Oryzias latipes: one gene and its partner. The protein of the gene in region 2 purifies or fractionates together with the protein of the main gene of each other region. This does not show direct contact. Links are inferred from orthologs where the notes say so. Each region holds a gene or a part of one and is shown on either strand. Other genes may lie near its edges.

What was found. The genes of interacting proteins can lie anywhere in the genome.
Region 1: the proteins of larp1 (region 2) and pabpc4 purify together in Homo sapiens (affinity purification with mass spectrometry; 3 studies listed by BioGRID and IntAct, with this or other methods). This does not show direct contact. The link is inferred for Oryzias latipes from reciprocal best matches to the Homo sapiens genes LARP1 and PABPC4.

Annotation. Positions count from the first base shown.
Region 1 is NC_019880.2:16,809,053-16,813,112, reverse strand, and holds the start of pabpc4 (polyadenylate-binding protein 4), read left to right. Parts: upstream 1-1,255; 5' UTR 1,256-1,608; coding exon 1,609-1,801; intron 1,802-4,060.
Region 2 is NC_019872.2:3,462,412-3,465,925, reverse strand, and holds part of larp1 (la-related protein 1), read right to left. Parts: intron 2,499-3,514; coding exon 2,351-2,498; intron 1-2,350. UniProt on the Homo sapiens protein: RNA-binding protein that regulates the translation of specific target mRNA species downstream of the mTORC1 complex, in function of growth signals and nutrient availability.

The sequences.
Region 1 (4,060 bases), on a different chromosome or scaffold from region 2:
TAAATTATCATGTTAGTTGTGTTCATTTAATGAAACATTTGAGCACATTTTTTAATCTCATTTTCGCGTCAGTGCTTCCGTGAAGTTTGTTCATGTATGACATGCACAACTCAAAGAGCATTATCCTATACCAAGGTCATTTATGAAAAAAAAATTTTTGTAGAACTTGTCCCGTTATATTTTTTCCTCTCTGAGGAAAGTGATCATTGTGAGAAGTTAAACAAAGCATAATTTTGGAGGGAAAGTTCACCACTTGGCGCTTGTTTTTAACCAGATGATAAAGCAAAAGTTTGTTTCAAAGAAACAAAGTCCAAAATCAAAATAGTTCAGTTCGTCCGGTGTTACCTCAGTGTTTCATTTCCTCCTAGTGTTCTGTTCTCTATTTCTCTTCTACTGGATTCCAGTCTTCAAAATGATCCAATTCACCAAACAGAATATATAATCACTTGTGTCTTTTTTACCATCTTACTAGTGTATAAACTGTGGAATAATGTACGTCAAATATGGTATCAATGAAAAGTTTGTGTTCAATATTTTCTGGATTGCTCAGAAAAGTGTTCTTGTTTTTGATGTGTTAAATAGAGTCTTCTGGACATAATCATTTGTTTTTGTTTTCTTTATTTTTCAAGAAGAAAATTCCCTTTGTGTAAAAGTAAAGGTTGGAAATCTGCTTCAAAACTTTATAAAGTCACTTTTTTTGTTGTATTTTGATCTATTAATGCGATACAATCTCAGAAATTTAAATGAAAATACTCAATAATGAGGCTTTTCACAGCAATTAAAAGGATACGAATAATTGTGATTAAAAATAGATTAATTAGTTAATAGCGGGTTAATTAATTGCACAAAATAACAAATTGCATGACATCATTAAATACATTACAGGATTACTACAGGGTTAATTTTTCAAATATATGTACCATATGTGTGGAATGTGGACCCATACTTTAAGAGCTTTTATTCCCTTTTCCCAGATTTTTTCCCAAAAGGATTGACATTCCAAAAACAGACCTTATTTCCCTTTTTTGTTGAGTTTTTCCAGTGCTTTTTCTCCTTTGGAGCTGTGTCCTGCCCCTCAGTTATCATGCAGGTGTCGCTGTGGGGAGGGCAGCTCTGTGGTTGGGGCAGGACAGTGCGCTCTCTCTTTTACACGCCGCGTGCTCGCCCCCCGCCCCCCTCCGCCCCCTCTCCTAAATTTGACCCTGGTCACTGTTTCGTCCACGCCGCTACCCTCTATAAAGTGCCCACGCTTCCCCGACACACTCTCTTTCCCCGGCCACAAATCAACCGTGAGTGTTTAACTCACTGTTATCGGGAAAAAAAAAACTTAAAATAAAAACAATATAAAAACAATAAAAGCTATAAAACATTATAAAAACGAGTACAATAATATTGAAATTTAAACTTTTAAAAAAATAGCAAAATATTAATTAAAAATATAAACAAGAGGCCTCGGGGTTTAACCGAAGGAGGATTTTTTTTGGTACATTTTTTGGGTTTCTCACTCAGAGATCTGTCCGCACCGAGCGCGTCTTGACCCGCATTCAAACCGGATTGCAGTTTTTTTCGGCTTTGGCAGATTTTCTTTTCTTTTTGGAAGTTTGGGAAATGAACACAGCGACCGGGAGTTATCCGATGGCTTCTCTCTACGTTGGTGACCTGCACCCTGACATCACGGAGGCTATGCTGTATGAGAAATTCAGCCCCGCCGGACCGGTGCTCTCCATTCGGGTATGCAGAGACATGATCACCCGGCGGTCCCTCGGATACGCCTATGTCAACTTCTCCCAGCCCGCTGACGGTAAGGAACCCCTGGGGGGTGGGGGGGGGGGGGATGAGCTCACCCACGTGGGGATCATCATGACTAATGAAAATGAATTTTATAAAGCTTTGCGCTTCCATTGAATTCTGTCTTCTTTATTTGAGACAGTCATTCATTATACCTATTATATCCACTTCCCAGTTCTTCACACACCACCTATGCTATGGCGATGCAAAGTCTCTGCAGTTCAGTTCACTACATTTTATTGGTATTTTAAAGGAATTCATGCATTTGAAACCATTATGTGCTTTAAAGTCTGTGTTTGTAATTATTGATCAATTATATGGAAAGCCATTACTGCAGTAAATCATTGTTGAGAACACGCTGTTTTTAAAATCTCTGCTGCTGATCCCATGAGTCAAAATAACAAGTGATATAATTATGTTAAAAATGAACACCTTCAAGCTAATTGCATCAGTTTGGGCATTCATAGTCAACTAGGGACACACAAAGGTTACTACTAGGCCACAGTAGTCAACTAGTACAAGAAAAAATGACTACTAGTTCTGTAGTACCAATAAACTAGCGGTTGACTGATATGTCTTACCCAATAACTAGTATGTAATCAAAGTTGTATTATTACTTAATGCGTAACACCACAGTTTTTTCTTCTCTTTTTGGTAAATAGTTTGGCTTTTTTGTCTACTACTAGATGACTTGTCCAAAACTTGTTTAACTAGTTCACACATTTATTTTTTTAAACATTTTTCAGTAGTAAATATTTTGACTTTCCTTTTTTATCTAGTTAGATGTCATCCATTGCTAGGAATGCTAAAACCATCAAGAATTCCTATTTACATTGATCTGAGTTGATTTGTACTCCTATTTTTTTTGCTGTTTTAACTAAATGGCTGGATAGCTCAGTTGGTTGTGTATAGGACCAGCGCATGGGAGGTTAGGGTTTGTTTCTCACGTGCTTCATCCACTGTGGGTTCTTGGGAAAGACCTTTCGCACTACCATGTAGCCACAACAGGGTCCAAGTTTGGTTCCCCCTGTGCCAGTCTTCAGCCTGGATATAATACACGGTTGTGTGAAAAAGGGCATTCGGCATAAAATTCTCCGCCAAACCACCTGTGCGACTCGGTGAAAGGGGTATGTCAAAAGGTGGACAACATAACTATACAGTGACCTTGTGGGTGGACAGACAACTTATTTGTATCTATTGTTACCTAAACAGCTTTAACATATGCAACAGTTGGTGCAAAGCAAATTGCTTTTGTTTTTGTTGCTTTGTTGCCTTTGGAATAAATAGGGGCGCTCTTAGCAGCGGTAGCGTGTGTTGCATTGGTCTTTCTAAGGTCCTAGTTATACTGTCTACACACTGTGAATGTTTCTCCTGTTTTATCAACAAAAACACCTGTGAGAGCAGCTGTCTCTGATGAAGGCGGTTGACCAAATACCAAGTAATGGATTACAACACCATAACTGACAGGTGTGAAATGCCCCACTGTTTTGCTGTTGATGTGGACACGGTAGAAGGGTGTAAATGTGGGGCAAAGTTCAAAGTGTAGAGAAGGAATATTTTGAGCTTTTTCATTGTTTTGTTGAAATATTATGTTTTATCCTCATGTTGGAAGTCTTCCCCATCAATAGCAAAGAATGGTGTACCCATACTCCAGCACATACCTCTCAGGACCCTTTTCTAAATATAGAACCTCACTCTGAGCAGGCCAAAATATGCCTGCTCTGTGATACTACAAACACAAATGGCAACAATAACTAGTTATTCAACACCATTAACATTTTCACCCTTGGATATTTCTGAATGTGTTTTTTTTTTTTTAAACAGCAAGATTTTCATTTTGAACCTTTCAGAGGTTCATGTGTTGAACAACAATTACACAAATTTTCTGAGCACACGGGTGGTGAAGTACAACTGCAAGCCAAACTGCTGATGCCAGCAGACGCAAGGGAGCTCCGTTTTGTTTACCAGACACTTTTAGCTGGAAAGCCTAGCCTGTGAGTGTGTGTGTGTGTGTGTGGCTCGCTGTGGAGGGACTGAACAAAAGGATGTTTGGCACGTGGACCCAAAATGACATGGCTGTTTAACCAATAGTAAAACAAAGGTATAGATTTCATAATTTTGTGTCTTAACAGTGCAGAAAAACGCAGAGACTGTAAAATGATCATCAAATCTAAAATAAATAAATAAAAACTCTTTAAAACCTGTTGAAATGGATGTTTGCCTGTGGCATTGGTAGTTAAGGGGGCACAGCAGCATGGGGTTTGTCAGAAAC
Region 2 (3,514 bases):
CTGTATGAGACATGGCTGATTGGATGATGATACCAGTATCAGTTAATGCCATTTAACTTTCAATTTAAATGATGGACAAACGTCACCATCCAATCAGTGATGTCCCATCGTCTCTACCCTCTCCAGTTTCTTATGCTGTTTCATTTTTAACATTTCATTTGGATTTCTGGAAATTACTTTTGCTTTTTTTTTTCACGTTTTGGTGTCTGGAACTTAGCTTTGTCTTTTTAAATGTATTGTTGTTTTTTAAAAATTTGTTTTGCCGTTCTGATCTTTGAAATGTTTTTCGCACTTCTGGGCCACCATAGTATTCTGTTGGAGATGAAAAGCCAGTCTGCTCATTCAGATCCGCAATCAGGGATCAATCACCACCTTCTACCAGCTCATCTGTTTGAGGAAGAGGAGCGTGAACCTGAGTTCACGCTCCTCTTATGGAGTTCATGTAAATATTTCGAGCAATAATGACATTGAACTTCCAAGGACGCAAAGTCCATGTTTTTTCTCTAATAACACGAACACCAAATATGTCAAAACTTTCAGAACGTTTGTCTCCAACTGAGGAAAAGTCTGAGCCGCTGCGCCGTCTTCCTCAGAAACGGGTCTGAGCGCCGACAACAGAATGGAGAACCGATTCCCTCTGCTGAATCCATGAATCCTTCACAGTTCATTTTTCCAACCATTAAAGCTTTTAGTGTCTCAGTTGAGCTGGAGCTTCTCTCAGACTGTCCCATCAGGACAATCCCTGCCATTTCATACAGCAAGCACCACAACACTCACATGAAGTCCCATCTACTCCAAACTGTAGTGTGGGACCATCTAGTGCCCTGGATTTTAACCAGCCATTTTGACACCTTCTTCACTTCTTTTTTTTTTTTTTTTTTTTAAAGCAAACTTTGACGTCACCGATTTCCTGAAGCAAAAACCTAAAAAATGTGAACACTTTACTAAAACTATCATGTTCTGATGATGAAAACTAAATGATACTTTTTTTTTCTTCACAAAAATTGTTCAAACGCAATGCATTGTGGTCTATATTCACCAATTTGGTGAGTATTGATGATCAATGGCTTTTTGCAGAGACTTCTGGGAAATTTCTAGGGTATTGTTTATTGGAATTGTAAGTTTGAACAAAATGGTGAACGCACTATAAAGTAGTGAAGGAATCAAGACACAACCAGCAAGAGTCTATGAACTTTACATTTTGAATGTTTCGAATTAAACTTTTCTGCGTAGGTTCAGCATCAAGAGATGAGACTCATGAGGAGGAACCGAAGTGTTTGCATTTCTGACTGTTTTGTGTGTTTACCATTAGCAATTGGTTTTTACTAGGGGTGTAGGAAAAATCGATTTGGCGATATATCGCGATATTTCATTTGGCGATACTTATATCGGATTTAAAATGGTGTTAAGAAACTGTTTATTTTAATTTATGAGGCTTCCTTCAGTGTCTGACTTGTCACCCGACACCGAGTCTCTCTGAGCAGCTCTACGCCGCACCACAGCAACTAGATCTCAACCAGAACCAGCTTGTGTTAAACATTCAGTCAGCCTTTGTTGTCATGAGACATGTACTACCTACAGAACCGTATCGGTTAAGGCACTTTTTCTTACACTGAAAAATATTTTGTCGTGTCAATCGGACAGTGTTGAATGTTGCCTTTAAGGAGAAATATATCTTCTTAATTTACCAAAATAAAAGCACTGTGAATTGGCTTTGGTAAAAGAAACTCGTAAAGGAGAAACAGTTGCAGTGCTTAATGTTTTGATCATTACATAAAATGAATTTGACCACGTTATGACAATGACAGGCCTGTTAATATTCAGGTAGTCATACTTTTTTTTAAAAAAATATTTAGAAACTGTTCCGGTACAGTCTATGGATGTATCGCGATACACATCACATCCCTAGACTCTTACCAAAAAAACAGGACAAGCTTAGATTCAGGTCAAGATTAAATGAAACTTGCTGATTAATCATTCAAATTTTAGTTTTTGTTAATAAACTGGTTACAAAACCGTATTGTTATACAGCTAGTGACTTCAACTGAAGGTGGAACACTGACTAATAAAATGATAAATTCTTACATTAAAACTTAAAGATAAATAGTTGTATCTGAAAACATAAACAATAAAAGAAAAACTTTGAAAGAAAGAAATAGATTTAATGAAGTGATCTAGCACTTTCCAATTGGATAAATCAGTTATTTAACTGAACCCTAAACACCTAAGGTGTTTCCACCCCTAGAGACCTTCTCCACTCAAACACACAGCTGTAGGTGAAGCTACAAATGTAGCCTGGAAGGTGAACAGAAAGTTTCCCATGACGGTTAAGATCGATTGAAAGCCGAACCTTTCTTCTTTGGGCCGTTTTTCTGAGACGCGTCTGCGTTCTTCTCCTCTCCCGAATCGTCCGACTTGGCCTTCAGGTTCTCCTTGCTCTCCTCGTTGCTCTCCCTCTTCTCCTTGGAGTCCTTCTTGGCGTTGGTCTTTTTAGGACCCTACAGAGGAAAGGCGTCTATTAGCGACCATGTCAGACCAGAAAACACCTGAAGTTTGTCATTACAGCTTTGGTGAGTTTCTGTAAACAAAGCAGATGCTCTGACGTTAGTTCAGCAGAAGAAGGATTCCACAAAAACGCTTCAACTCAGGACATGCAGCATTCCTTTCTCCCAAACTGAGCTGTCGTCCAATCAGAAACTTCAACGAGCTGGACTCTGACAGGAACCAGGCTCAGATATTCAAGTTACACATTATTAAACTGATGTTATTAAAAAATGTACTTTAATAATCTCTATAAGGAGTAGCATGGATCGTTTTACTGAAATGTTCGCTAACAATACACGTCTCTTTTGGGACTAATAAAGTTTACTGAACTGAATGTTACTATTGGCTCAAATTCCATCAAAGGCTGTAAAAACATACATTTTCAGCAGTTTCAGCACCAAACCTAAACGTATTTCCACACGTCCTCTTCTAATTTGTATTCTATTTTGAATTCGGTAAATGAAAAACTGTTTTAAATTTCATTTCAGCATTTTCAGGATATTAAAAATTTCATCCTTCTGTTTAATCCTAGCGTGTGAACTACTGTTTTATCATTTTCCCAGCTTTATGAATATTTATTTGAACTTGCTGGAGACGGGCGTCGCTGCAGCGGTGAACGGCTGACTGAGAGACCTGAAGGGCAGGAGGGAGGCCGCCACGTCTCATCTGAGTGACACAGAAGGCCGACCTGCCTGAAAACAGCCATTAGAGCCGGCCTGAGGTGAGGAGGTGTGCTGGTTGGGCCATGGACACGGTCAGCTGGAAGGTCCAGCCAGACTGACAAGGCTGAGTGAAGGACAAAACCAAAATATGACCAAAACACCAGTTTGGAAGAAGAAACCAGAAACTCTCAGACTAAAGAAGTCCAGAGTAGACTTGACTGAACAAATAAAAGCGCAGATAATAACCCAGCATTAAATATCTTAAAATACCGGTTATATCTACTGCATCACCGAGTTAAAGGTTAGTT